Linked DNA regions of Mytilus edulis. The main gene of each other region encodes a partner of the protein of the gene in region 3 in a complex. Links are inferred from orthologs where the notes say so. Each region holds a gene or a part of one and is shown on either strand. Other genes may lie near its edges. The genes, in order: eukaryotic translation initiation factor 4 gamma 1-like, eukaryotic translation initiation factor 4E-binding protein 1-like and eukaryotic translation initiation factor 4E-like.

The links.
Region 1: the proteins of eukaryotic translation initiation factor 4E-like (region 3) and eukaryotic translation initiation factor 4 gamma 1-like are in contact, whole or in part, in a crystal structure (PDB 5T48), measured with the Drosophila melanogaster proteins. The link is inferred for Mytilus edulis from reciprocal best matches to the Drosophila melanogaster genes eIF4E1 and eIF4G1. Residues at the interface, in NP_001261626.1 of Drosophila melanogaster: Lys80, His81, Pro82, Leu83, Met84, Val113, Trp117, Tyr120, Asn121, Leu174, Asp175, Leu178, Ile181, Gly182, Glu183, Ala184; in NP_001137857.1 of Drosophila melanogaster: Tyr605, Trp610, Pro612, Lys619, Gln620, Tyr621, Arg623, Leu626, Leu627, Leu629, Arg630.
Region 2: the proteins of eukaryotic translation initiation factor 4E-like (region 3) and eukaryotic translation initiation factor 4E-binding protein 1-like are in contact, whole or in part, in a crystal structure (PDB 4UE8), measured with the Drosophila melanogaster proteins. The link is inferred for Mytilus edulis from reciprocal best matches to the Drosophila melanogaster genes eIF4E1 and Thor. Residues at the interface, in NP_001261626.1 of Drosophila melanogaster: Lys80, His81, Pro82, Leu83, Met84, Tyr91, Ile107, Thr108, Val113, Glu114, Trp117, Ser118, Leu119, Tyr120, Asn121, His122, Ile123, Lys124, Pro125, Tyr135, Leu174, Asp175, Leu178, Cys179, Ile181, Gly182, Glu183, Phe185, Asp186, Ser188; in NP_001285588.1 of Drosophila melanogaster: Lys51, Leu52, Ile53, Tyr54, Arg56, Phe58, Met59, Lys60, Leu62, Arg63, Ser65, Pro66, Leu67, Ser68, Gln69, Thr70, Pro71, Pro72, Asn74, Val75, Pro76, Ser77, Cys78, Leu79, Leu80, Arg81, Thr83.

What each region holds. Positions count from the first base shown.
Region 1 is NC_092356.1:41,477,459-41,488,264, forward strand, and holds the start of eukaryotic translation initiation factor 4 gamma 1-like, read left to right. Parts: upstream 1-6,564; 5' UTR 6,565-6,621; exon of another isoform or gene 6,622-6,697; intron 6,698-6,758; 5' UTR 6,759-6,834; coding exon 6,835-6,908; exon of another isoform or gene 6,909-7,531; coding exon of another isoform or gene 7,532-7,553; intron 7,554-8,448; exon of another isoform or gene 8,449-8,458; coding exon of another isoform or gene 8,459-8,483; intron 8,484-8,661; coding exon 8,662-8,690; intron 8,691-9,494; coding exon 9,495-9,589; intron 9,590-10,382; coding exon 10,383-10,526; intron 10,527-10,806. Other genes in the region: lysosomal amino acid transporter 1 homolog, read right to left, coding at 488-681.
Region 2 is NC_092352.1:10,079,974-10,090,375, forward strand, and holds eukaryotic translation initiation factor 4E-binding protein 1-like, read right to left. Parts: upstream 5,140-10,402; 5' UTR 4,995-5,139; coding exon 4,856-4,994; intron 3,025-4,855; coding exon 2,860-3,024; intron 846-2,859; coding exon 805-845; 3' UTR 150-804; downstream 1-149. UniProt on the Drosophila melanogaster protein: Repressor of translation initiation that regulates eIF4E1 activity by preventing its assembly into the eIF4F complex. Hypophosphorylated form competes with eIF4G1 and strongly binds to eIF4E1, leading to repress translation.
Region 3 is NC_092352.1:11,378,123-11,388,800, forward strand, and holds the start of eukaryotic translation initiation factor 4E-like, read right to left. Parts: upstream 5,172-10,678; 5' UTR 5,091-5,171; coding exon 5,055-5,090; intron 4,233-5,054; coding exon 4,027-4,232; intron 2,621-4,026; coding exon 2,557-2,620; intron 899-2,556; coding exon 785-898; intron 105-784; coding exon 1-104. UniProt on the Drosophila melanogaster protein: Recognizes and binds the 7-methylguanosine (m7G)-containing mRNA cap during an early step in the initiation of protein synthesis and facilitates ribosome binding by inducing the unwinding of the mRNAs secondary structures.

The DNA.
Region 1 (10,806 bases), on a different chromosome or scaffold from region 3:
AATAGCAATGGGAAAGACTTGCAAAAGCTTATAAGCAATAGGATAGAATATCAATAGTAGTAGCAATATCAATAGTAGTAGCAATAGCAATAGGATAGAATAGCAGTAGCAAAGAATGGCAATAGCATTATCATATTAAAGCAATAGCAATAGCATTATATAGAATAGTAATAGCAATAGCAATGCATCACAATACATTGCATTGTACAAATTTTTCATGGTAGAAGACTGTGTCCTATCACTCTTTCATTTTTAAGAAAAATAGCATGTCAAATTAATCACATATAAAACTCATTATACGACACTTTATCATGTTTATTAGATAGCCAATGATATTCAAATAAATTATAAATGAACTATTACTCATTCACATCTAAATAAACCTGCGAGTACCATATTTGGTTGAAAATATTTTAAAGGCACTGGCAGACAAATAAAAATCTTATGTGAAAAGATAATCTTATTTCTGAACTCAGTTTATACTTACGGTGTACTAACAAATACCCATAATGCAATGGACAGCAATCCAAAAATATCAGATGCATATTCATTTGAATTTGTCACACAGTCACCAAGTAACACATACAACCATCGTACTCCATCACTACAGTTACCTTTTGTCAGGTTATGTATGCTGTCATAGTGATGACCTCCAAGTAACCATGGATACAAATGTGGCATGTTTAACAATGCCTGAAATAAGCATAAATTTATTAAAAGCAGATAATTATGCAGGTATTTTCACAAAAAAATTGTTTCATATTCGATACAATATCTAAGCATTTACAGCATTATACTTATACACAAAAGAGTAAACTACATTCTCAAAAGCTTTTTTTAAAAAAAAGCAGACAATGGTTGAAATGAGACATTTATTTAAATAATTTTAAAATTGTACAGATTCAACCTCCTTATCACTCATATCACATCATCTTTTCTTTATATTTTTTCAGTAACTTCATGAACTGATCATGAAGTTCCTGTATGAATTCTTCTCTGAAGTATATATACATGTAGTTGATACAGAGATATATCTAGCCTTTCTGCTTTAAAGTTCAGAACTGAAAATCTGATGGACAGCAACATTGCTAATTAATTCAAAGTAGCTGGACAAGCTAGTGGTCAGGGCCTTAAAAGAGTTGACAAATTGAGATGTTCAGACAGCAATGTAAATTTGTAAATTAGGCCATTTATTTTAATGTTTGAATTGTTTTATATTTGTTATTTCAGAACCTTTTATAGCTTGCTATGCAGTATTTGTTTTGCTCATTTTTGAAGACTGTATGTTGACTTAAAGTTATTAACTTGTTTTCCTTGGTTCTGGAGGAAATGTGTGTTGCTGATAATCAAACTAAATCTTCTTTATTTCTATATTACATGAAAAAATTCCATACTTGAAAAAAATTATATATAAACACAAGCTTTATATGCTTAACCAACATTTTTAGCAAGGAATAAAAATATTACCTTGCAATGGCAGCTGGCAAATTGGCAACTACAGTCTTAATTCAATCACAGTTTTCAGATTAGCATGGTTTTATATCCACCATTAACCGTCTAATAAAAAAAATTAAAAACAGATTATCATTTATATCTAAAAACTTGATTGAAATGGCTACTAAATCATGTTCACATTAAAATGCATGTTAAGCCATTTCAATTGATATCTTATAGTGTGTTTTCTATGTTGTGATGTTCCACTATAAACGTATTTACACTTTTGGTATTTAGCTGAATTTTGTCTCCAAATGACCGTAGATCGCCTCCGAATAACCTTTTGACGTCAAGCAACAATCACTTTTTCATGCGACGTCAAATTTTTTGAATTGTTATGTCAAAGTTTACAGGAACCTGTGTGATTCTACGTAATGGCGTACAAATTTGCATACAAGTTTAAATACGTCTATTGTTGCGGGTAAGGGTGAAGGTTGGTACTAATTAAAACGTTTAAACCTGTTGCATTTGTTTGCAGCTGTCCGAAGTCAGGGACCTGATATTCAGTAGTTGTCGTTTGTGTTTCTCCTTTTTGTTTATTTTTACACTAGATTCTGTTAGTTTTCCCGTTTAAACGGTTGTACACTTATAATTTTTGGGGCCCTTTATAGCTTACTGTTAAGTGTGAGCCAAGGCTCTGTGTTGAAGATCGTACCTTGACCTATAATGGTTTTCTTTTCCAAATTGAGACTTGGATGGAGAGTTGTCTCATTGGCTTTCAAACAACATCTTCTTATTGTGCATTCAGTTGAGAGAATTATAGATTATCTTTGATCATCTCAACGAGATTGATTTTCTCGCTTGAGCCGGGATAAATGATAATCTGTTTGTCGCTATTTTACCTATGACGACATTGTCAATTTCATGTCAATTTCATTAGTAACGCCACATGCCGCCTTAGTTTCTAGCGATAATTTTCCATCTCAAGCGAGTAGCATGATATGAAAAATTATCACAAAAAAAGATCAAAGGAAAAATGCACAAAATAGCAATAATAAATGTTAATGCAGATGTATAATAAATATTGATGACTATATATATATATATATGTATGTAAGAATGTATTCCACAACTGACTGACTTGGCTGAGACATGTGAGACTGACTAAATGGTAACCTAAAAAGTCACACCAATGGGGTTTGTGAAACAAAAATTTTGAACAGATATATCATGTTAAGGAGGGGTATTTGCGAAAAATACCAGTCGAGAGAATGTAAAATTTCTCGAGCCGTAAGGCGAGGGAAATTCATTCTCAAGACTGGTATTTTTCGCAAATACCCCTCAATAACATGATATATCTGTTTAATTACACCGAATGTTAATATACTAAAACGCATTGTTGACCGTGACGTTACAAGCGTCCAGTCGGATAGAGTATTTTTTGCAAATACCACGGCAGAGAGGGTAAAAAAGGCATATCCTTTTAGCAAATACCCCGGCGGCGTTAAAAATGAAGGATATTCATTTGATAACAGTAAATTGGTGAAAAATACTGGCTATCAACCAATCAAAACCCCGGATTCTTACATAAGGTGTAATTAACAGTGAAATTTCCCCATAACTCTTGAAGTAAGACTTTTAAAAGTAGAGAGAGAAAAGGGAGGAGGAATCTTAGACCTTTCATCAGCACTAGTCTTTGGATTAGTCAGAAATTTCTGTGTAAAGCAAATATTTAAATAATGCTTCATTTTGATAATTCACTGGCTCTTACACCATATTTCAAAAAAAAAAAGAGAACAAAAATACAACAAAACTTTGTCATTTTCATTTTAAGTATATTCTTGATTTGGTATTAGATATGTCAAAGTGTAGATACATGTATTTACGCACATTTATATATATATCTCTATTTTATTAAACAGTACATTTTTAAATATATATCTTGTGGCAAAACATATTATGCATATACATGATATAGTACCTGTGGTCAATTAAAATCAATAACAATATATTTTGGTAATTTATTACTGTACATCTATACATGTATAATGTCCTTAATTTAACTAACCATTGACCTAAAAGGTCACAATTAAATAATAGTATTCAGGTCATTATGCAAAAAATGTTCTAAATTATCTAACAAAAAATTGTTGTGGGGTTGTTTCAAAAGCCTGTTCACACATGTATAAATATACTGGTCTGGTTGCTAAATTGAGATCTTTAACAATCCAATGGTAGTTATTATTTTTAATCACTTGAAAATTATATAATATTGGGAAATATTTTTTAAATACTTTAATTTAAGTTTATGCTGTTTTATTTATTTTTTCTTTTGATACTGATATAATACAAATAAACATCTTTAGACGAAAAAAACATTGATTATGCATTTTTTATATCTTAAAGTAAAGTTAGCTACTATTTTAACTTTTGAAGGAATTTACCCCTAAAAAACTTAAACAGATCATAATGTTAGTAATTTCTATGGTTTTTTTTAATATATAATGCAAAAGTATAAGAAACTATTTACTTAGAAGGTTTTCTCCTTTTAAATCATAAAACAGCATGCTAACATTTTCTCAAATTTTAATGCATGTCATCCATTTTCCCCTTGAAATCAAAATATCTACTTTTTAAAAGATCTAAAAAAATCATATGTCATCAACTCTAATATGAAAAATATGACAATATAGATTATTTCAAGAAAACCAGTTACAAAAACCAGTTTAATGGTCTAGTGAAGACAGTTATGAAATATGACCCCTTCCAGGTCAATAAAATAACAAACCATGTAATCGAATTTTACATAATAAATCATCTCCATGCCAGGGGTCATGACCTTATGTAATTAGCTATCCTCATGCTAAGTATGTCCTCAACATGACACTTCTGTCAGTTCCCTGCCCCATGGGGATTGCAAATATACTTCCTGGAGATCTTACACTGATAAAATATTAAAATCAATAATACCCATTCATTAATTGCCTGCTAAAATATATTTGGTTAATTGTTCTAATTGTATCTCTGAAATTTGTGTCCTGCATTAGTCGTCATACTGTGAAATTTTAAGTTATTTCAAGATTGGCCAAATGGACACTGTGGAAGTACTGATAATATTGACCATATAGTTCCAGGCTAACATATTTAAAAGAGTACAAATATGGAGAGGCTGATGCAATAGTCCTGAGGGCTGTATAGCCAGTCAAGGTCATTAAAAAAAATTACAATTTCTAAAAAATATTTAATCAGACTGAAAAACAACATTAATAATAGTGAAACAGAGTTTTTTTCTCTTTACAAATTTTTTAACTATCGTTATCTGGTCTCAGCTGTGTGAAAAGTTTGAAAATTAACAATGCAAGTTTATGCAATCTTAAAATTTACTGACGACAATATTCACCTATATTCTTGCAATATCCCTTTACATATATTATAAGAAAATATATTAAATACAAAGTTGAAAATGCATTGAAATGAAATCTTGAAATGAAATCTTGAAATGAAATCTTGAAAAGTCAAAATCTCTGACCACAGACATGACAGGACCTCTGTCATTATTTGGTTTCTTAATATCATAGTTCTGACAAGACAGACATGGATAATTGCTCTGTGAGAAGAGACTATTGATATAAGCTGTCACCTGTGTTTACTTTCTTAACATACAATTCCTTGATTTTACCAAACAGTGTTGGAGAGTTTGAAGTTTTAAGCACGAAAAATTTAGTACATGTAGTACTCTAGCATGTCTAGTAATGCACAATTTTTTTTCTAAATCCTTGTCCCATGTTAAAAAAAATTTCTTATTATTAATGGACCTAATGAAAAAGACAGTCACAACCTATTTATAAAAGTATAAACTATGCAATTACATGTATTTTAAGAAGCAGCTAATACCCTTGTTGAAATCTTTAACAATGAATGGTTTGATATTGTCATGATTGTAATAAAATAACAACCATTTGTGATATATATATTTTAATTTATTTATATAATTTGTCTAAATATTAGCCTAACCAATGTTAGATTTATAAATTTGCTTTTGCAAATTTGTTGTTCTTCCCTTGTCGTGATTCAAACTCATGAGATATTGTGGCACCAAATCGCCTTGCACTATGCACAACGCTCTAAGACCACTGAACCAACTAGGCTATACAAAAATGATAGGCGGTGTTGTCATAGAAGTATGAAGTGAAAAGTACAGGTTCCAGCCCCGGCTGGGGAGGAAGAAAAGAATCAAATCTACTCTAACATCATGAACATTGTTAGGTTGATTTTCTAGGCACTTCATATATTTATATATATACACGTGTATCAACAAATCAACAACTTGCAACATAGACACCGAATCACACATGATAATTGGATCTTAAGTAATTGCAACTTATATTAGTCCCTCTCCACTTTGCCGGTGTGAGTGCTTCTCTTTTTTTGAAATCTACAAGAGTGTCTTTTATGCGGAGGCGGATTTAGAGGGGGGTCAGTGGGGCTCCCCCTTTTGAGAAAAAAATTTGGTTGATTATATAAGGAATACACCTTAACGCTATTCCCGGCTGACCCGGCCGCTTGAACTTTTGACGTCAACAACAATCACTTTTCGATTGTGGCTCAGATATTTTGTTTTATGACGTGAATATTCTACGGGAACCTATGTGATATCCAGTAATGGATGACAAATAGCGATAAGGTGTATCGTGGGGCCCCCTCTTAAGCAGCCAGTGGCCCCCACTTACGAAAAATTCTAGATCTGCAACTGTTTAATATGTGCAAGAAATATGGCTCTCTCTTAACACGGGTTAGTGCTATAACATATGACTTCACATTCTTATTCAATATTTAACGTTTGTATACTGATATTTTCATTTTTTTTTCTTTTTTAATGCGAATGTTTACGGTCTTGTGATTGTGAGTGTACCAAATACCCCCCTTTTTCTTGCACTCAACCTTTTTAACGTTTCAACGATTTCTCTTTACCTTCATCATTTGTCACTGATGTCAAAAGATCATGACAAAGAAACTCAGATTACCTTCTGTTATTATTAATTACTTTAAATCCGGAATTTAAAAAAAAACACTGACTAGTTGCAACTTCAAACAACAGAATTTATGGTAACCTTTGACCCTTGCCGGTAACCTCCGTAAAGTAACCGGAAATAGCCGAGCTACGTCTCCTTGCAGACCCTTAACAAGGTAGCCATACTTATTTACATGACTACAATCTTATGCCATCGTTGATTATCTGACCATCATAATAATCTAAAAACTAGTGAGTATGAAAATTGAATACACGAACTCTAACAAAAATGATTTTGTTTCAATTTATGTAGGAGACAGAGCTTGGGAAACAAGCATCGGAAGGGTCCTTTTCCAGGACTAAACCGCTTCCTTTTCACGTTGAATGAAATGTCGAATGTACCAAAAGTGAAATCACCTACACCATCTCAAATAACAGGACATACACAGCAAAGAAGTGTAACGTATCCTTTTTATGCATAGTCAACAATTTATTTTATGTACTACTTGGGTTAATTCATTTTATTTCATGTCAGTTTGCACGAGAACAGATGCCGGTTTTTCGTCCTGTCACGTTTGCAGTTTTCGGGACAACTTGTGTGAGAAATATCCAAGTTTATTGAACTATTGATTGCACATCTGATTTAAAATTGTGTTTTTGTTGTTTGTTTTGTTTTTTTCTGTAACATAATGTTCCGACAGCTCGTTATGAAGGCGGGGCTTTTCGAACGAGGAACCACATTCTTTGAGCGTGCACATATCACATGACATTAATTACGACATCATGGAAAAGATGAAAACACGAAACAGTGTTACAGTGTGTTATCAACAGTGTTTAGTTAAATATCAAAATGAATTTGGAAATTTTGGAATGTTTCTTGTGAATTTTCTTTAAAATAACCCTTAAATGATATTTAGGATTATTGACATGTGGTGATGTGTAATATTTGTCAGATATTGGATATTTGCCAAATACACAAATTATTAGTAGATACACAATAGTCTTTGTTATAATGATGAACAAAAGTGAAAATAATAACATACAATGGAAGCTGAATATAATGAAAAGCAACACTGATTAATAGATATGATCAAATTCCAGAAAGAAAGTAAGAATTCTTGTTTTGTTGTTTATGATGCCTTATTTATTGTACATTTGTTTGTTACTCCCAGTTATGGTTTTATATATAATTTCTTTATACCAGTAGCAGAGATATTTCTTTTTCTTTTATGAGTATTTTGTTGTTACATATTTTAACCTCAATCTGACCTGTATTTGTATAGATCTGTGTTCAGGGCATTTTATTGGAAAAACAGGCATTTTCAGAAAGTACAATGTCAGATTTATTTTTAGACATTGTCACATTATGATAAGGTAAAAAATAAGCTTTCAATTTGGAGACTACTTGGCATATCTACATGTATGTAATGTTAAGGTAATTTGAAGTTGCATCTTATGGAAGTAAAAATCGTGTTTAACATTTCCTGTTACGAATCTAACCAATCTTACCAACTTATTTTTTATGTACATACACACATGTAATTTAAAAAATGAGCTATTGGTTATTTGTTAAAAAAAATCTGATATCCAACCTCTTGAAACCAGTTTTGGGCAGTTTTTAAAATCTTGATTTTTGTTGGTTGACCTTATATGTAGTACATGAAACTGTCCCTCCCGATTATTAATCTGATTGATGGAACCTTAAAAATTGTTCACATTTGTTACCATGTCAGCTTTAAAACCCTTCGCCAATATTTAGTTCGTGTTCTTTAATCCTAAGAGAACAAAATGTCATTTTAATGTTAGATCCAACCTTATTCATTCAATGTTTTAGTTCAAGAATATTATAATATCTACAAAGTGTAAAGATGATATGTCCATGTGAATTAATGCAATTACATAACAGGTATTTCCACGTCAATAATAGTTAAAAATAAGGTATATGCACATCTGCAAATGTATTTAAAAAGCGATATGATTCTTAAACCTATTCCCTTTTGTAGCTCATGCTTTATGGGAAATTGTGTCAGTAAAAAGGGTAAGTTTATTCCCTTTGTTCCTTGTATGGTAGGGTGTCAGAGATATACTATTCTAGATTAAGAACTTGTATTATGTTGCGGGTACCAGGTTGCAAATTAAAAGCTTTGTTGTGCTAGCCTAGAAATGGGAAGATTTAAATATTTAAACTCATAGTCCTTTTCCTTAACCTTATACAGTCCAAGAGGAACACCAAATTATAACAATTGTAAGTATATATGTTTATGGTACAGTATGGCTGCATGCTTATTATAGGATCTGCTTTAATTAGAATATTTTCATTCTTGTGGGGGTAATATGGGTTTATATTTTGTAGTATCTGGACTTGTGCTCCTGAGTAACCTACGATGAGGAAGTAACCTTTCCATCGATCTGTTACTTTGCTCCTCAACTGTCAAAAGCTTTATGTTGTCACCTGGGTATTTCAGCTCACTCTCGGTATCTGTAATTTTCCATTTTGATCTTTTATAAGACGGACAACTATTTTTTTTTTTTTTTAAATAATGGAAGCATGTATGATCGACTTTGTAGACTAAAATCATATTATTTCGGAGGAACAACTTTTTGTGCAAGCTTCACTTCAATGCATTGTAACACCAGTGTACATCATCAGATGAAGATTGCAAAATTAGTTGTTTCATTAAAACATGATGATCTTTTGTTAATGATTTATCCGTTGGCACAGCTAGACTGATAGGACATCCATACCACACAGATGTTATGGGAAGAAAATTGACTGTTAAAAAAAAAGTTTACGTCTGTCTTCTGAGTTACATGTACCACATACCCATACCCACCAGCTCAGGATTAAAAAAATCTCTATAGGCCAATAAATTGAACTTCATGCCCAGGGCCAATGGATTCTAAAGTTGTTCAAGATTCTGCTACATACATAGAATATGTGTGTATTTACACATGAGGAATGACCCCTTGCGAGTTTGTGATACTTGTATGTCTCGCAGACATTGTCCAAAAGATCAATGAAATAATGTTAAGGCATGATTTGTTTTAGGGGTACCACAAGAGGAGCAAGTACAACAGCAACAACAGCAGCCACAGTTTTACATTTCTCAACAAGGGTATTTTAATCCACAACAGGTGCAACAGGTATGTATCGATGTGTATATTTTGTTAAGAGCTGATTGCATTGAGTAAGTAGGTAAAGGTAATAACTTTGGTTAGCTTGCTTGCTAGCTGAACCATAGCCATTAGTAGGTTAGGTAAACCACCCTTCTTTAAGAGTAGACTAGTCCGACATATAACCAATCTATCTGTCTGTAGGACACGGCTACTAACAAAGGAGGGTAGTATATTTTAACTAATTATGACTTCACGCTTAACCACAAGTCCTACAGCAATGGCTTGTGAAATTCTTCTCTTCACGCCAACAAAATCCAACTAAAAATTTGTTAAAATTGAGCTTCAGGCTTGTGGATTCAAATGTTTAGCATGAAGACTGGAGCAAGTAAGCTAGCTAAAGATATTACTTTAACTTACACACTCAATGCAAATAAAATGTATTTTTTCGTAAGAGAAGCATTGAACTTATTATTTGTATTTATTATAATTTTTATGTACTATTTTGCCATTGATGTTTAACACTTGATTTAATATTCAAAAGTTAGCAGAATATATTTATATGTAATATTTGTACTAAATGAGACAATTACCTTTTTTTGCTCATGTGTGAATTGTAAGTTGTACTGTGCATAAAAATTAGAAAAATATGCACTTATATTGGGAAGCTCTTAATTAACATCTTGGATATAAATTTCAGTTTTCTACTCTAATCTATTTGATGCTGCATGATGGGGAAAATATGAAAAAAATAACGTGTTATCGCGTATGAGATAACTGTCCACCAGACCAAATGATAAAATGGGTATCTACTTTTTTACAGCAATTTCTTCAACAACAGGTGAACCCACAACAGAACTATCCCCATGATATAAGTAAACAATTGAATAATCAACAGTTGGTACAAGGCCAAGCCCTGGCTCAGCAACAAAACATGTATCAACAACAACAACAAAGGACACCAGCAGTATGTATATACATTTGTAGCTTACAGCATAGTTCCTTGCATGGTCTGCTCTACAGTAATTAAATTGCTTTTATGCTTTTGGGCAGCTTTTTAAATCAAGATAAAATATTTTAATTTTACAGAAAATTACTTTGCAAGATTAATAGTTTGAAGTTTAATACATGTACATGAATTATGACCTTGAACTAATTATTCCTCGTAATCATTTTTGTACAATCTGAATCAAAGGTTTATGTCGTGCAAATTGGTAAATATTATTCCAAAAAGAAGATATTTTGCA
Region 2 (10,402 bases), about 1.3 Mb from region 3:
TTCAAGGAGTGTGCCTTAAAAACAAACAAATTGACTTGCCTAAACAGATAAATCTGCATGAAGATGACCTAGTCACAGAAATATCTCAGTTGACAAACATTTTCAAGTAATTGATAACATTATGCACTGGTGAAGAAAAGCTCACAATAAAATGTTTACAAACTTTATTAAAACAATAGATATCATAAAACATGACTACATATCTCTGAAATCACACCTTCATGATGTTACCCGATTCCTTGCAGAACTGTTACCCAATTCCTTGCAGAACTGAAGTATTGTAGACAGATTATTTAGAAAACAAACTGATTATCAAAACTACAAAACTTCAGAGACATTATATAAAACAAGAGTTATTATTATGTGAAACTTGACCAAATTCATATTATTGCTGAATTATCATTCCTTGTGTATACATTAGTAAAACCTAACAGTAGCACTTTAATCTGAACACATGATTTCCATTCAAAACAAGTATTTTTTTAGCACTTAACAGATTCCAGTATCAATCTTTTGAGACATACAGTGTGTGAGAACATTCTGTTACCACTTCTCAACAGCCTAATAACAATGCCTAATAAGGATGTGTCGTCTGCCATGACTCTACTTCCTAAAATGGACTTGTCAACTGCTGTGACATGTACATGTAACAGTGTCACTCATTTACAACTATCCTAATATCAAATAGATCACAGAAAAATAAGAAAATAAGCTCAGAAATCGTCATTATTACATGTATGATGTTGCTAAATAAGGAAAATATCTATAGAAGATATGTCAGTGAAAGGCATCATGGGTAGTGATTTAAATGTCCATCTCAAACTGTGGCTGGTCTTCATGTGCTTCTAAAAAATAAAATAACGGGTTTCAAACAAGGTACATGTTTTAGTGATATTATTGCTTTTAACTACTTAAAAGTGATGCCATTCTTGTTTTTTGTTTCTCTGTAGTAAAATTAACTTTGTCTGCAACTCTACAACTATCCTAGTATCAAATAGATCACAGAAAAATAAGACTACAGTTATGATATTTAAGTGGTGAATGAATTTTTCTTCACGCTATTTATTTCATGATTGATGTTGGCTTCAGCATGTTACATCATGGTAGATTCTTAGTTGTCAATGTTACAATATGATATTGTTTATGTGTGTTGTTTATTAACAATCATATTATTTGGATTCTATAGTGCAAAAGGCTATATGGTAGTGAGATATCATTTTTAGAGTTTGACAAATTCATGAACTACATAAAAAGTCTACATTAATTGCAGTGGAAAATAGTAATTAATAGTTATATTAATGTTCTGTACAGTGTTTTAAAAGTATTGTGACTGCACTTTGGAAATGAAAGTGTTGTACAATGTTTACAGTTTAGCTGTTTTAATGTTGAAAATACATTTCTGTAGAGTTTAGTTACTGCAATGGTTAAAATAAATTTCGAAATCCAAGTGTAGTTTAGTTACAGCAATGGTTAAAACAAATTTCAAAATCCATGTGTAGTTTAGTTACTGCAATGGTTAAAATAAATTTCGGTAAACATGTGTAGTTTAGTTACTGCAATGGTTAAAATAAATTTTGGTATACATGTGTAGTTTAGTTACTGCAATGGTTAAAAAATATTTCGGTATACATGTGTAGTTTAGTTACTGCAATGGTTAAAATAAATTTCGGTATACATGTGTAATTAGTTACTGCAATGGTAAAAATAAATTTTGGTATACATGTGTAGTTTAGTTACTGCAATGGTTAAAATAAATTTCGGTATACATGTGTAGTTTAATGATGTGAAATGATAACACAATATTGACTGCTGAATACCCCTATTTTTGACATTTTACTCTTGAGTATGTTTGTTTTGTTCATGCATCGTTGACAATGTAATGGAATTTGATGCGACTGTCATACAAGTGAGAGGTTTAGCTAGCTATAAAACCAGGTTCAATCCACCATTTTCTACATTAGAAAATGCCTGTACCAAGTCAGGAATATGACAATTGTTATCCATTCATTTGATGTGTTTGGACTTTTGATTTTGGATTTTCCTTTTTGAATTTTCCTCAGAGTTCAGTATTTTTGTGTTTTTACTTTTTAGTTATTGCAATGGTTAAAATAAATTTGGTATACATGTGTAGTTTAGTTACTGCAATGGTGTTAAAATAAATTTCGGTATACATTTGTACATGTGTAGATCAGTTACTGCAATGGTTAAAATAAATTTCGGTATACATGTGTAGTTAAGTTATTGCAATGGTTAAAATAAATTTCGGTATACATGTACATGTGTAGTTTAGTTACTGCAATGGTTAAAATAAATGTCTGTATAGTTTATTTACTAGACTGTTTCTATCATGCTAATGTGTCACTGTAATGTAACAGCTTTTAATCACATGTACTAAACAATTTGAATGACTGTTCTAGTAAGTTAATCATGACCAACAAGGAAGATTTTCACTGAATAACCTTGTGTGTGTGTATATTGTATATGTTTACACCCCTGAGGACTATCAGTATTTACTATTATATATAGTAAATATATATATCAATACGACATGGGTTGTTGCTCATTTTGGTGACCTGTAATTAATGTTCCATCTTTTGTCAAGTGGTCTTTTATACACTGTATATTTGTCTCATTGGAAATCATATCACATCTCCTAATTTCTATTATATATATTTAAATTTAGCAAATTCTGTTCCTTAACTTAATGTAGATTCATCACAGTCTTTTTATAATAAATTGAGCGGAAGTGTTAAAATTACATGGACCTGTTAAATTTTTACAAGTATTCTAATCTCTTACTTATAATAACAGTTCGACACAATTATTTTTCATTTCATCTTTTATTTAGAATGTACTTACTATTTTTCTGAGCTGGGATATTTTCTGTGCCATTTTCTTTAGGGACATCAACCTCCCCAGGACAGGTAACCCCTGGAATCTTTGCCATATTTGGTGGAGGACTTCTAGTTAGTGGGGAGTTCCTACACTGCATCAAGAAATTCCTCTCATAAAAAATCTTTGTTCCTAAAAATGAAATAGGACGATCTCAACTTAATAAAATTCATAGTACACACATTATGAAAACTCTAAGTTTTAACCAAAAAAAATTTTTAAAAAATTTACTCTCCTTGACCATGTTGACTTGTACCAACAAATGCACTTACCAAGGCAATCACTGGTCATGATCATTGTCATTTTTCAGCATTGCTTATACATGTACAAACAAAAACCAGTGTGTTTATTATTATGTAAATAAACAGTGAAGAAATAAAAGAAAATAAAATAGAGATTTCTTACAAATTTTTGGTCTGACAAAAGTTATCTATTAACCTGTCCCTACTACTAAAGAGATAGTGAAGTACCGTAAGCCTTGGCCAGTAAGGAGGTGTTCACCGCAAGGATACATGTACATAATTACATGTTTCCCACAAGTCAGGTCAATGACATGTACAGTATATGTATAATCGTGTACATTTGTTCATAAACAACAACATTGCATACTCTGTCAATTTGTTATTTAAAATCAGAAAATTGAAAATTGAAAACATGCCTGGGAAAATACATGTACAACAAAATTTCTTTAAGTAATGTTTATTTCTGCTTTATTTATTTTCCATTGTTCAAATCAATGAATGATATAATAGTAAAATGACTCATGAGAAATAACAGATGTTAACACTATACCAAATTTCATACTCAAGGGTGAACCTGAATAATATTAAAAAGTTTTTATTCATGTTTACTCATCGGTCCACTACTTCACTTTTAGACTATCAAATAATTGTCATATCAGAACTAGAGAGAGAAAAAAAAACACCTTGCTCTGGTTTAAATCCATGTATTAATACATAAATATATATAAGTAAGCAGATCAGGTCAATGACTCCTGTTTTAATTAATCAATGAGGACAAGTGTTGCAATTTGTTATTTAAAGAAATGATAACATATCTACTGTACAATTACATAAGGTACATGTAGCATCATGTACATGTAATTACTCAATAGCATGAACAGATAAATATTCAGTTTAATACATACACATTTATTTACAATTTACCCCTAAAAGACTTATGACCAAATTGATGCATCATTATGTACCCACAATACAATGATTGACCTATATATATATTAAATTACTAGGTCAATCTATTTATAGTTGAACAGAGTTCAATAAGCAAGTTTGAGGGGTTGAAATTGTTGCATCATTACTATTTAATTTTGTGACAAAACAAAGTACATGTTTCAGATAGTATGTTTACTCAAATAACTGTTACTGTTATTACATGTATGTACTAAATTTAACATATTTAATCTATTCTATATACACAAATCCTACATGTACATGACATGTCAAGCCCCAGTTTGGTTATTAATAAAAAGATCTCTTCACAGCACAATTATTCTGAAAAGGCAAAACTCTTAAATTTTACATTAAAAACATGTATAGATGTAAATGTATATAAAAAATATACTATAGTCTATACAAATCCTTGATGTATAAAATATTGTTGTTGACATTTTATATTATCTTTTTAGTATACACAACTTGTTGCCACTGTGTGTTTGTACTCTAAGGATAATCATATTCAAATGTTAACTAAATAAACATTACAAAACTTTACGTTGGGCTGTTTATGAGGCAGAGTTGCTGTGACCTAAATCATGAATGACATAATATGGGTCACATGGCTGCAAAAACATTAGTAAGTCGCCATTTTGAAATAAACATGCTTGTTTACAAACAACAAAATCTGCATACTGTATCACAACTTATATCACTATTCCAGACATGCATTTGCAAATAATATCTTAAACTGGAAATAAATAAAACTATAAAAGAAGACATGCGCTCACCTCCTGGAGTTGTAGAAAATAACGAACCGCCTGGTGTCGTACTGTAATCATTTGGGAGCTGTGATAAATCGTTTAACACTACTCGTCTGGGAATACTCTGTCCTTTAACATGTTGTTGAGGAGACCCAGATTTTGACATATTAAGATTAATTAACGAAAAGTGTTTAAAAATACGTCCAAGCCTTGTCTCCTTCACTTCTGTCTGTCTGTAGAATGTTGTACTCGCGTTAACCTCCGACCAAAACACAAACAAGTCACATGGCAAGTTGACCTCGTAATTTCCGACGAACCTACGGAGGTAAACGAAGTGGTCATCTTCCTTGTTTACGTTGTATAGTTCGTGAGGCGGTTGAATTTAAAATAGTTTATTAATACTTGAAATAGAAAAAAAAAATTGTATTGTATTACATTATATGATCTTATATGTCTCTCATAAAAATAAAAGCACATGTCTAAACACTATTAGTCCCAATTACTTACACGAAATTAAAACAAAGAACATTAGTACACAAAGTATTTCAATGATTACATTGTTGTTTTATTGATCCCTATCAGAAGCATGGAATTCATTGTATATTTTAAAAATATACCATTCCTTGGTAGAAGTTATGACAGTTATTGTCCTTGAAAGACACAGGCACTAGTCTCTCAGAAAAAAATTTCCTATAATCAGTAACCCGAATAATTCAGTCGTTATATTCCGCTGATCTACGAAGGCTACATTAACGCCTGAACGTCTTCCTCGATCAAGACCGTCAACCGGAAAATTCACACCCCTTTGCAATATGGGAATTTTGATTTAAATTGGCAGCTAAAGAAGGAGGAGTTCCGGATGTTAATTGATGATAAATGATGTAAACTGATGTTAATTGATGTTAATTAATTATTATCGGATTTGTGTTAATTGAACACACGTGTTTGGTAAGACAATTTCAAGAGAGTTGCGCCGACTCATATCCTGATCGCCGCTGATTGGCTCTCTCTCACAGAGAGCAGGCGACGCGGCCAATGATCACAAAGAGTTCAAGCCTTCGTGTGGGAGAAAATCGGACACGGAAAGGGCTTGAATTATTCGAGTTATATAATCAGAGACATATAATACATATGTCTCTGCTATAAATTAATATACCTTTTTATTAACCAACTAAGTGCATTATTTCCAAAAGTGACTGTTTATTAAAAATTACATATGTTCTGTAATGGCCCTGTTTTTTTTCTGTAATGGCCCTGTTTTTCTGTAATGACCCTGTTTTTTTCTGTTACAAATGGCCCTGTTTTTCTGTAATGGCGCTGTATTAATGCCCAGTTTTTTATTTTGTTCAAACTAAACTGTCATTAAAAGAGTAAGACAGTACATCAAGTTAGCAGCAACACATACACTTTTGTACAGTTGGTTAATAAATGTATTATATAAGAAATGGGTGTTTTTATAATGGCCCTGTTATATGTCCTCGGTCAGTAATAATGGCCTCGGATGTCTGTAATAGCCCTCAGCGTAGCCTCGGGCCATTACAGACTTCCTCGACCATTATTACAGACCTTGGACATATAACAGGGCCATTATAAAAACACCCATTCATTAACGATCATTAATACTATAATAATATAACACTTTTTATAACACTTGTTATATTAAGGTATATTATTATAGGAAACAAATTCCTGAGACAAGTGCCTGTGTTGAAAGACTATATTTGTTTCAAATTTTATGATTTTCATTCCAAAAACTATGACCGAAATACAGAACATTCAACGACACAAAAATGTTATCAGTGGCGGATCCAGAACTTTTCCTAAGGGGGGCCCGCTGACTGACCCATGTTAAATTCCATAGGAAATTAAAAATGCTGATTTTGAGTTTTCCGCCATTTAGAATTTTATGGGACTTCTGTGTATATCATTTGTTCTATACTTTATTCCATTTCTAGTGAACCTCAATTTGTAAGCAGATTTAATAGTGGACATATTTATTTCGTAAAATACGTAAGCCCATATATCACATGTATTTAAATTCTCCCTCGCCCTGCTCGTCCGAATTTAAAGCATTTAATTTCTAATTCAATAGGCTATAAACAAGACAAACACAGATATAGGATTAGTTGCTCGCAGTAACATCTTATTTTCTCTTGCGATACAATATTTTATTTTACTGAATTGTACATATTTCTTCAATCGAAACATTATATAAACACATGACATATAACATTGTTCCTCTTTCGCATCGTTTCTTTTCCCCCGGCTAATGCCTCCAACGCCTGTACGTACAATAATCATAGCAGCAACTGCACATATACCTATGTGACCAACTTCAATCCGACGTAACTGCGAGCACCTTCGATACTAATACATTTAAATCCCAAACTTTATATAGTACCTTTAAACCCCACCCATAAAAACCGCCAAAACTTTCCTCGTGCCTCCTGCACCTAACATCAAACTTATGTATATGTAAGAGAATGATAATCCCTTTCTTCATGGTTAAATGTAAATGTAAATCCTATAATGTTTTGGAAAAGAAATTATCTTTTTTTAATTACAGTTTCAATCAATAAATAAATTTCAGTTACAGCAAATTTTATTCCTCAGTCAGTACTTCAGTAAAACAATTTTTTATTATATCTGTGAAAATTTCTAATAAAATGCCTTCAAAATTTTTAATCTTAAGGTGGTACTCAACACCTTGACTAATATTAATTTGGCTCGTTTAATTTTCATAAAATTTTGACAAAATGTTTACTTTGACCCTTTTACAAAAATATAAAAATTTCAAAAAAATTTGGACCAACCATTTTATCAGAAAAATTTCATTGGTAATATTGCAGTTTGAAAAACACTAATTTTGATCATTGAGAAGCTTTATATTTCCTTAACAATACAACGTGATTAAAACGCTTAGCTGATTTTACAGAGTTATCTCCCTGTAGTGTTAGGTACCACCTTAAATCAAATTTCTGTTTTTATGAGGGTTTTTTTATCGGAAATTATTACTCTCTATTGTTTATTTTTAGATAAATTTATTGAAGCTAGTTATTTTCATAACATTATCATCGGGGCACAAATTTTACTGCAGTAGTAAACCTCTTAACTTATTTTGATTTTTTATTTGTTTCACAATGCAACTTTTAGTCAAATCCAATCACTGTTATAATTCATTTCAATCAGGTAAATCTGCTTTAGGGCAGTTGTAACTCATTTATAGAATCTCTTCGTTTTGAATTGTAAGTAGGTTTGCACAATAGGATAATCTCTTACTAAGAACATGATTTACATTCATTCTTCACAATTAAGAGACACCAAATTCTACAATATCATTGGTCAAGAGCACTTTGCCATATTCTAAATAAATGATATATGACGTTTATCATTCATGCGAATTTTCGCATATTTTAAAGTCTTTTTTAGACCACAAAAATTCCCGCAAAAGTTATTTTGCGAATAATTTGTTACGTCTGACACGCATATTTTTGACGTTTTGGCAATATTTGTATCATTATTTGAAACTATTATGAAAAGTTAAAGAGTATTTTTTTATATTTTTGGAAACAGTAATACCTGCCTAATCAATGGATATAAATTTCATAAAGCTGAACTATTTAGATTTCATAGAAGAGCTATTTATCAAATTGCTCTGTCGTATTTCACGGCATTGACGCAATAACGTGCTTAACGTCTGTGCAATTGAATATTTCTTATTGAAACTTTTCAAAATTTGAAATTTGAAAAATGTTGGAAAAAAAAATCCCTTAAAAAAATGGTAAACTGAGACCCCCCCCCCCCCAATTTATTGAAACCCCCCTTGGAGCAATAACCCTAAACTCAATCCCATGCTTTCCTTTGTAATATTGAACCTTGTAGTACGATTTCAGAGGGATCCATACACTTAAACACAAGTCTTTGGAAACTAGAAACATGCTTCTTTTTTGGCCCTTAATTCCTACATATTTTTGGTAATTAACCCAAAACTTAATCTCAGCCTCCCCTTTTTTATATGGTACATTGTGGTACAATTTCAGAGCGATCCATGCATTTACACACAAGGTATTGTCTGGAAACTAGAAAAATGCTTGTTTTGGCCCCTTTTGGGCCCCTAATTCCTAAACGGTTTGGACCATCATCCCCAAAATAAATCCCAACCTTCCTTTTGTGGTATTGAACCTTCTGAAAAAATTTCATTAAGATCTATTCACTTAAACTAAAGTTATTATCCGGAAACCAAAGTGTCTTCGGACGACGACGCAGACGACGCAGACGATGACATCATACCATTATACGAACCCAAAATTTTTTTGGGGTCGTATAAGGGAGCTACCATTTGATTTTTATGGGGGGGCTAGGATGAAATTTGAAAAAAATAGGCAGGACAGGAATTTTGAGTAAAAAAAAAAGGCAGGATGAGACACTTGCAAAAAAAAAAAGTCAGGATGACAATTTAGGTAAAAAAAGTCAGGATAAACTAAAAAAAAAAAAAGGCAGGACCGAACAGAGTGAAAAATAAAAAGGCAGGACAGAGATTACAACTAAAAAAAAATGCAGGACAAAATTTTTCATCCTAGCCCCCCCATAAAAATCAAATGGTAGCTCCCTAAAAAACAAACACATCAGACGAACAATAAAATACAAAACCAACATAAAAAGCTGAAGACTGAGCAACAAACCCTACCAAATAACAAGCCCGGTGTTGAGTTTAACTCGGTAGGTCACATTCGTGGGAAAGGAGGACAAGGTTGTGGTTAAGACAATTGGAACATTTCCGACATCAAACCTTGATTGCGACAAAGATCAGCTTCATAAATCAAAACTCCTGGTTTAATAGCTTCCTTGTGAGATGTAATTATCTATCAAGAAAATCACGATGGGGAACACCAGTCATGGACTAGCGTATCAACTGGCCGGGGAGATATAAACTACACATACATGCGCTGCTCAGTGGAATGTTGCTACACAGAAATGGAAAATTCACAATTGGGTATCTGAAATCATTACTTTTACCGTATTGTCCCTCAATATCAATACCTAAATGCAAGTCAAGATATGTGGCAGATTTAACTGTAACTATTGTATCCTATATACTTCATGTTCAATGAGATAGATGCCGCGTGACAGTTCAAGATAGTCGATCAAACTTTCAATTATTTAGTGAGAGGACACCATCTATATAGCAGAAAGTAAGTTGAAGAATGATAGTATCATTTCATTCTCCCTTAGAAGCTCATGTATGAAGTCAGCCACATATGAATAAATGAAACAGTCGACAGAAGAGGAGCACAGTTAGATTCCATGGGAGTGCCGATTGTTTATTGAAAAAAATCGTCTTCCAGGTGTAATACATATGGTGTCAATCAAGAAATCAAGCTTCTTCATAATGTAAGTTTTAGATAATTTTTCTGTTAAATTAGACTGATATTTTACAACTTTTAGTGAAAATATTTTTTCTCTATAACAAGATACTTGTATCTACGTTAGTCATTCTTTCTTGATGAAATGAAACAAAATGGAATGGAGAATACATGTGTTAAGTGTAGAAAAGTCAAATGTTGTAATAATATT
Region 3 (10,678 bases):
CTCGTCCATAAACTCAATTTGTCTCCTTTATTCCTAATATTAATAACAGCACCATTAACATCTTCACTAAAATCTTCAAAGGCTTCACCAATCAAACATAATAACTGAAATAAGAATTAAATATTAGATAGTCATTTCGATATGATTTAAGAATATATACCTGCAGTATCTTCTATTTTATTTCAATGGGTTTGTATCTATTTCCATTAAAAAATGTTCCAATGAAAGTGTCAGCTAGAAAGTAACAGTCGATCAAAAATTTACACGAAGGTCATCTAAACGTGACTCCTTCTGGATTGTCTTTAAATCTTCCCCACCAAGATACATGTATCTTATGAAGCATCGTAAAAAATGAAATTTATATCCTAACTTTAAATGATAAATGTTCAGTATTGTCCTTATATTTCAGATTTTTTCTAAAGTAAGATAAAAGTGGACAATACAATGACCGATGGCTGGCAAGCAACAGCAAAAGCTTGCACTTTTTGATAATTGTGTTAGAAAATTACAGATGCTGAGTTTATTCAAAACAATAAATAAAAAGTGAAACTGTCAGCTACTGCTCAATGATGATACCCAGGGGTATACTCAAGGAAAAGTGCTCCAATGTCCCAAACTTAAGGCCTTAACCACATATTTAATCTATCTAAAGGCAATGGTTGCAAGTCTTCAGATGCCCCAAATATCAAGTATAAGTATTTACCAAAAAACTTTTTGTTTAAGAAAATGAATGCAAATCTGTTTATTTCTGATACTTGACCAGTCCATGTATTAAAATACTTACTGTTTCCAACCAAAAATTATCTAAATCTGTTGATCGTTTATTTTTTTCTAAATTAATTAACCATCTTCCTCCATCTTTATTAACATCATCTTCCCACATTGGCTGAACACCATCCTTAAATGAATAGGACAAATGTTTACTTGTAAATTCAGGATAATCAAAATAACCCCATCAATGGCAAACAGACCTTTAACAATACAGCCTAATTCAAATTCGAATCATCCTTGTGACTGTGGGGACCACATATTAATGCATTTCAGAAATATTTGTACATGTGATATGTCTAAATAGTGGCATCTAATAATTGTAGAAATGGCTGTTTCTAAGATTTCTAAGAATCATGCAAAAGGAGACCATTCTCAGTCGGAAACCAGGTTGAAATAGAACAAAAGAATTGAAGCTCTTTGTTAGAGAAGGCGATAAATGCTTACTGTAATGTTTACTATAGTGACAAAAATTTTAAAAGTTAATAGAAACAAACAAAATTACAATTTTCTTCTCAATTATGAAGTGTTTTATTTTGAAAACACCATTTGCATAAGTTTTCAATTTATTTAGTACATAGGTAAGCAGAACAATTAGATATCAAGTCGACGACATGGGTATCTTTCAAGTTGGATGTAGAAAATGCATAAAAAAAAATTACCACGGACGGAAAACATATCAATCTATTAGTTCAGTAATTTTCGTGTCTGCCCTTCCATTATGTGACTCAAGAAAAAATTTCAAAAAATGGGTAACAATTGCATCAAAAAGAGAAAATCGAGTGCACCTTTTTATGTTCGGGCGTGTTTGAGTTGAATATTTTGTCTTGATATCGTACAAAGTAAGAATATTTCATACATCGTCTCGCTTCAGATTCTATCATTTTTATATATCAAAGCTACAGGTCGACTTTATAACATAAAAAAATCACAGTACTAAAAGATTAAATATATGGGTCAAGTGAAATACCTATCTAATGAATCACAAAAACAGAGTAGGTGTGTTCGAATAGCTATTTTTTACTGAAAGTACTTGACGACAGTCTTTCAAGTTGGATGATGAAAATGCATATCTTCGAAAAATTATAATTTTTTGTGTGTGAAAACTAGGGTTTATAGTCTTCAATCACTAAACAAATCTAGTCTGCCCTTCCAGGAAATATTTAATTCAAATTTTTTTTAATGTTTATGAATTTTCGAAAATTCCACCTGACAACCGATCAGACAATAGATCGTTAACTAATGCTCATTAGCTAGTTGATACATTTGTCTTTAAAAATACAACTGACATATAAGGATCGTAATGGTGCAATGTGGATAAATTTGTCGGTTGCCAAGAGCAAAATTGGCAGCGTGTCATCCCTACAATGGCTTCCATTTCTACGAATGTGAAAATGAACTGGCGTAATGGGGAGATAATTTTGACGAAGTAGAGTCCTGACTGTTCTATTGAATAATAAAAAGCTTTTTTTCAGTACTGGCACCAACATTTTGTTTACTAGATTTAGACATTGTGGTTGTGACTTGAGTCTCAGATTACTCTCCGTATCATACAGACTTATTTTTTTGCTCGAAGTAGTCCATTTCCCGAATATATGTATGTTTTATATTGAAAAAAATTCTAATGTAAGTATGTAGATCTTTAAATATGACAGACTATGTTATCTGATCAGGTACGCACATACTATCATCATATAACAGGTTGGTAGATGTTATAACATATAGAGTTAAATTATACATGTAATAAAAGCTAACAAGAAAATAATTTCTTTTTCCTTCAATATTTACCTTAAATAATGAGTAATCACAGCCTGAGGGTAATTTGCTTGCTTTCTGTACATGGTTATATAATCTAAAATTATCAACATTGTACATGTTAAAATCAGAATAAATTATCTGTGTTTACAAAACACATTGTCCAAGTGAAATGTAAATGTATTACAATCTTCAACTTGAAATTGAATGTCTTTTAATATAACCAAACAACATTACGGGTTAAGTTTGACTTCAAACTTGAGCTTCAAACTCAGAAACATGATTATATTGTTATTCTACTAATTGTTCTTTTTCTCTATTTACCAAGAGGCAAGGGTGGTAGGGAATGTAAATAAGCATCCAAATAATAATACAGATATCCTTGACATCATGGGTATGACATGACGTTAATTTTCTATTTTTCTGGGTGTGTCTAGCAAAGTTTGAAATTTTAATAAATAAATATAACATATTAAAACAAGCATTTCCCTATAATAGCCTTCTGTCATTAAACATGTTAAAATAGCTCCAATATCAGTATTTTACAATAATTCATATTTGGACATTATTGATTGCAAGATTTCCTCATCATTGTGCAATAAACAAAATAATTGTTTATAGGTTAGTGGGCTAGAAGACATGTCACACTAAATGGTATAATCCATCAAATGTTGACAACCCAGTCACAACACAACCATTTCTGACAGATAAATTCTATTTTAATACCTACTATATACCTTTACTCTCAGTTTTCATGCTTAACCATCACAAAAATAACTTGTGACTTGCATTTTAATTAAAATACTAACTGCTTTAATATTTATTTTATTTACAGTGCATTCATGTGTTCATTTTACTTCACAATAAATTTTACTTTTAATGCAATTCTAATATAAAACTTATTTGACATTAATGAAAAAAACATGCACTTTCAAATACAAATTTTTCGTTTTGTTTTGTTGACTATAGAGATGCAGCTTTAACAATTTAAAGACTGTGTATGCTAATAAGATTTTAATATTCTAAAATTGATATTAAAATAATTTTCCTAACTAAAACAATAATTACAATTCACAAAATATTTACCTGTATGTATTTATTTACATCTTAATAGAATATAGCAATAGCTCACAAATAGCTTGATACCAATTTTAAGAAGCTTTGATTTGAAAAATGGGACATGGCCATTCATTGATAAGCGAGTGGTTCACCAGAAGTTTATGGATGGAAAAACAGACAGGCAGACATAAGTAAATGTGTATAAACCCCCACCTATGGAGTATGGTATAATTATAAAATCACTTTTATGCACAGCCTTATCTTAATAACTGTACTTTTTTTTTCTTTTCTAAATATGGAATTTCCATTTAAATTTATTTTTTTAAATTACGCAATAAACAATTAGAACTAATACTCTGCTCTATAAACTTTTAAATTCTATTTTCACTTCTACTAGAAATTAAGTTTTAAATTAAAATTTTAACTAATAAATATATAATTTACCCCCAGAAATCTTCTACAGTATCAAATGCCGTAACCAATTTTAGATTCGCTGTCCATTCTTTCGTTCTGTCATTTTTGAAAAACCACAAGGCCCATTTGTTTTGAAGTGGATGTTTGATTAAGAGTTCTGGTGATAAAGATTCATCTTCTTCGCCTTCAACTTCTTCTACTTCATCAACTTGTTCTTCTGTGTCATTCCGTAACTCCTGAAATATAAATGTAAATAGTATCTTATTGTTCAGAATGAATACCATGTCCATTTGAAATTTGGCCAGTAATGAACTAAAAATAAATCTCCCAAGAAGGTTGAAGACCTCAATTCCATGTCAGAATTTTGTAATCACAGTCACTTGTCATCTGTAACTTTCCATTTCATAACAATAAATTTTCATTTAAAAGTAAAGAAATACAGTCATGGAGAGTTTTTCATTTATGGAGAAATGAATTAAAGCAATGTCTAACAAAATCAGCAGATTTATTTCTTTTGTCAATATTTACAAAATAGCTCTACATTGTGTACCTTCAAATTAAAAAAAAAAAAAAAGTCTCTATTTCAATTCAAGACAAGAAATAAATAATTCAATTGAAATTTTATATTTTGTTCTGTACCTACAAATGCATATGTATCCAACAAAATAATAAATGCATACATAATTCATTATTTGTAAGTGAAAATAACTTTATCTTACTGTAACTTTCAAGTAATCCATGAATGCAATTTTATACAACTTATAAAAGAGAAACACATATGAAATAAGTACTTTTCGCAAATAATACTAAAATCTGACAAAGAAAAGTCTTTTATTCTGTATGAATATAAGGTCTTTTTAGGGTTTAAGAGCTTTTTAAATAAGACCTTTCAAAAATGATATAAAAAATGTATAACTATAAATCATAATCTCAAAAAGAAAATATGTATGAAAAAGCTATAAAATCTTAATAGACATACATTAGACTGGCTGTCAAAATTCCTTGGTGTTAAATAAGTCTATTCCCCAAAATACCTCTTTAAAACATTTTCCTCTTACCCGTATTTTTGAGCCAAGACTCAGGTGGTATAGCATATTATAATCCTGTGTAAGACAGTTATATACTGAACATCAGATGTACCAGCATACCAACCACTGTGACCTGACAAGAATATCCCTTCTGGGCATGACAATCATTTCTAGACATGTGAATGAAAAACTTACCGTAGGTTGTCCTACTTCCTAACCAAATTTGTTTTTTTGAACTACATCAATCTATCAAGACCTAAATCTTTAGATTCTTCTACAATTTAAACATTAACAAAACAATAAAATTGCACATGTGATTATAATTTTTTCACCATAAAAGATTTGAACCAGATGCTCCACAGGGCGCAGTTTTATACAACCGCAGAGGTTGAACCCTGAACGGTTGGGGCAAGTATGGACACAACATTCAAGCTGGATTCAGCTCTAAATTTGGATTGTGATTAAATAGTTGACAGAGCATAGGTTTCGGACACAGAATGAATGTGGTCTAATGAACTTTAAATTTTTTTGCCTTTGAGCAATTCACTATGCTGTTGAATAAGTCCTCTCAAAAAAATGTTTGAAGAAATTTTCTTTTTATTTATGAAATCTGAAATGAGAAAAATGTACCCCCCCCCCCCCCCCCCCCATTTTTTTTCACATCCCCCTTTCCCCTTTCCCTTTTTCCAAAACTGATCTCAATTCAAATTTCTAAGATTGTTTTAATTTATCAGTTGGTAGTAAAAGTGAATATACATTGTATATTGTATAAAACAATGATTTAAGTTGATTCAACTACTATTCTGAACAAAGAAAGATAACTCCAATCAATTGAAAATTTCTTGCTATTGCACAATATTGTGCAATTAGATATTTCTTGCTATTGTGCAATACTGTGCAATTGAAAATATTTGCTATTGCACAATATTGTGCAATTGAAGATTTCTTGCTATTGTGTAATACTGAGCAATTTTTGTTGAAATCAAACAAAGTTTAATTTCGGACCCCGATTAGAACCAACTTGAAAACTGGGCCCATAATCAAACCAGGTGCTCCACAGGGCACAGCTTTGTACGACCCCAGTGGTTGAACCCTGAACAGTTGGGGCAAATTTGGTCATAATATTCAAGCTTGATTCTGTCTGAATTTGGATTGTGATCAAATTTTGACATAATATAGGTTTTTGTCACAAAATTAATGTAGTCAAAGATGTAACAAATCTATTGCACAATACTGTGCAATTGGAGATTTCTTCTTGAAACTTTTTTAAATTTGAAATTTGAAAAATTTTGAAAACTAGAGGCTCTAAAGAGCCTGTGTCGCTCACCTTGGTATATGTGAATATTAAACAAAGGAAGCAGATGGATTCATGACAAAATTGTGTTTTGATGATGGTGATGTGTTTGTAAATCTTACTTTACTAAACAGTCTTGCTGCTTACAATTATCTCTATCTATAATGAATTGGCCCAGTAATATCAGTGGAAATGTTTATAAAAATTTACAAATTTTATGAAAATTGTTAAAAATTGACTATAAAGGAAAATAACTCCTTAGGGGGTCAATTGACCATTTCGGTCATGTTGACTTATTTGTAAATCTTACTTTGCTGAACATTATTGCTGTTTACAGTTTATCTTTATCTATAATAATATTCAAGATAATAACCAAAAACAGCAAAATTACCTATTCACGGGCAGCAACCCAACAACGGGTTGTCAGATTCATCTGAAAATTGTAGAGCAGATAGATATTGATCTGCTTAACAATTTAACCCCATGTCAGATTTGCTCTAAATGCTTTGGTTTTTGAGTTATAAGCCAAAAACTGCATTTTACCCCTATGTTCTATTTTTAGCCCATGGCCATCTTGGTTGGTTGAACGGGTCACGCCACACATTTTTAAAACTAGATACCCCAAAGATGATTGTTGCCAAGTTTGGATTAATTTGTCCCAGTAGTTTCAGAGGAGAAGATTTTTGTAAAAGATAACTAAGATTTACGAAAAATTGTTAAAAATTGAAAATAAAGGGCAATAACTCCTAAAGGGGTCAACTGACCATTTCGGTCATGTTGACTTATTTGTAAATCTTACTTTGCTGAACATTATTGCTGTTTACAGTTTATCTCTATCTATAACTAGAGGCTCTAAAGAGCCTGTGTCGCTCACCTTGGTCTTTGTGAATATTAAACAATGGACACAGATGGATACATGACAAAATTGTGTTTTGGTGATGGTGATGTGTTTGTAGATCTTACTTTACTAAACATTCTTGCTGCTTACAATTATCTCTATCTATAACAGTACTTTCTGTGGAAAATGTTATTGAAAATCTTCAAATTTTAACAAAATTGTTAAAAATTGACTATGAAGGGCAATAACTCGTTAGGGGGTCAATTGACTATTTTGGTCATAGTGACTTATTTTTAGTTCTTACTTTGCTGTACATTATTGCTGTTAACAGTTTATCTCTATCTACAATAATATTCAAGATAACAAAAAAAACAGCAAAATTTCCTCAAAATTACCAATTCAGGGGCAGATAGATTGTGACCTGATCAACAATTTTACTTCCTGTCAGATTTGCTCTTAATGCTTTGGTTTTTGAGTTATAAGCCAAAAACTGCATTTTACCCCCATGTTCTATTTTTAGCCATGGCGGCCATCTTGGTTTGTTGGCCGAGTTACTGGACACATTTTTTTAACTAGATACCCCAATTATGGCTAAGTTTGGTTAAATTTGGCCCAGTAGTTTCAGAGGAGAAGCTTTTTCTAAAAGATTACTAAGATTTACGAAAAATGGTTAAAAATTGACTATAAAGGGCAATAACTCCTAAAGTAGTCAACTGACCATTTTGGTCATGTTGACTTATTTGTAGATCTTACTTTGCTGAACATTATTGCTGTTTACAGTTTATCTCTATCTATAATAATATTCAAGATAATAACCAAAAACAGCCAAATTTCCTTAAAATTACCATTTCAGGGGCAGTAACCCAACAACAGAATGTCCGATTCATCTGAAAATTTCAGGGCAGATAGATCTTGACCTGGTAAACAATTTTACCCTGTCAGATTTGCTCTAAATGCTTTGGTTTTTGAGTTATAAGCCAAAAACTGCATTTTACCCCTATGTTCTATTTTTAGCCATGGCGGCCATCTTGGTTGGTTGGCCGGGTCACGCCACACATTTTTTAAACTACATACCCCAATGATGATTGTGGCCAAGTTTGGATTAATTTGTCCCAGTAGTTTCAGAGGAGAAGATTTTTGTAAAAGATACAAAAGATTTACGAAAAATGGTTAAAAATGGACTAAAAAGGGCAATAACTCCTAAAGGGGTCAACTGACCATTTCGGTCATGTTGACTTATTTGTAAATCTTACTTTGCTGAACATTATTGCTGTTTACAGTTTATCTCTATCTATAATAATATTCAAGATAATAACCAAAAACAGCAAAATTTCCTTAAAATTATCAATTCAGGGGCAGCAACCCAACAACGGGTTGTACGATTCATCTGAAAATTTCAGGGCAGATAGATCTTGACCTGCTAAACAATTTTACCCCATGTCAGATTTGCTCTAAATGCTTTGGTTTTTGAGTTACAAGCCAAAAAATGCATTTTACCCCTATGTTCTATTTTTAGCCATGGCGGCCATCTTGGTTGGTTGGCCGGGTCACGCCACACATTTTTTTAACTACATACCCCAATGATGATTGAGGCCAAGTTTGGTTTAATTTGGCCCAGTAGTTTCAGAGGAGAAGATTTTTGTAAAAGTTAACGACGACGGACGACGGACGCAAAGTGATGGGAAAAGCTCACTTGGCCCTTCGGGCCAGGTGAGCTAATAATATTCAAAATAATAACCAAAAACAGCAAAATTTCCTTAAAATTACCAATTCAGGGGCAGCAACCCAACAACGGGTTGTCCGATTCATCTGAAAATTTCAGGGCAGATAGATCTTGACCTGATAAACAATTATACCCCATATCAGATTTGCTCTAAATGCTTTGGTTTTTGAGTTATAAGCCAAAAACTGCATTTTACCCCTATGTTCTATTTTTAGCCGTGGCGGCCATCTTGGTTGGTTGACCGGGTCACGCCACACATTTTTTAAACTAGATACCCCAATGATGATTGTGGCCAAGTTTGGTTTAATTTGGCCCAGTAGTTTCAGAGGAGAAGATTTTTGTAAAAGCTAACGACGACGGACGACGACGACGGACGCCGGACGACGACGCCGGACGCCAAGTGATGGGAAAAGCTCACTTGGCCCTTTGGGCCAGGTGAGCTAAAAAAGGAAGACCTTTAAAAAATGGTAAACCAAAAAATCCCCCCCCCCCAAACTTTTTGAAACCACCTTGGAGCAATAATCCCATGCTTTCCATTACAGTATTGAACCTTGTAGTACAATTTCAGAGAGATCCATACACTTAAACACGAGTTATTGTCATGATTGTTTGGAAACTAGAAACATGCCTCTTTTTGGCCCTTTTTTGGCCCATAATTCCTACATATTTTGGGCAATTAACCCAAAACTTCATCCCAGCCTCCCCTTTGTTATATGGTACATTTTGGTACAATTTCAGAGAGATCCATACAATTACACATAAGTTATTGTCTTGAAACTAGAAAAATGCTGGTTTTGACCCCTTTGTGGCCCTTAATTCCTAAACTTTGGCCCCATAACCCCTAAAATGAATCCAAACCTTCTAATTATGGTTTTAAACATTGCAGTATGATTTCAGAGCAAATGAAATACTTCTACACAAGTTGTTATCCTGAAAGTAGAAAAATGCTTGTTTTGGGCCCCTTTTGGTCCCTAATTCCTAATCGGTTGGGACCATCATCCCCAAAATCAATCTGAACCTTCCTTTTGTGGTATTGAACCTTCTGAAAAAATTTCATGAAGATCTATTAAATAAAACTAAAGTTATTATCTGGAAACCAATGTGTCTTCGGACTATGACGTCGCAGACGACAACATCATACCATTATACGATCCCAAAATTTTTTTGGGGTTGTATAAAAACTAAGTACATGTTTAGATTCAGCATACATGTATAAAAAAAAACCAAAGAATTCAATTTTTGTTAAAATTAAACACCTTAATGTAGACCAATTTGAAAACGGGACCAAAAATTAAGAATCTAAGTACATAAGATTCGGCATATCAAAGAACCCCCAAAGTTCAATTTTTTATGAAATCAAACAAAGTTTAATTTTTAAACCCTTTTGCCCCTAATTCTCAACTGTTGGAACCAAAACTCCCAAAATCAATCCCAATCTTCCTTTTGTGGTCATAAACCTTGTGTTTAAATTTCATAGATTTCTATTTTCTTATACTAGTCATTGTGCGAAAACCAAAAAAATGCTTATTTGTGCCCTTTTTTAGCCCCTATTTCCTAAGCTGTTGGTACCAAAACTCCTAAAATCAATCCCCACCTTCCTTGTGGCAATAAACCTTGTGTTAAAATTTCATAGATTTCTCAGGGCTCACACTACTTCAGAATTATAGGGAGAAGTGACTTCTCTTTTTGAAACTGATAGGGAGAAGTGGTGAGATTTGAAAGAGAAGTGCTCATTCGTGCGGTGCGCTACAATGTTTGGATTTTACAATAGTATAAAGGGCCATATATATGTAAATAAT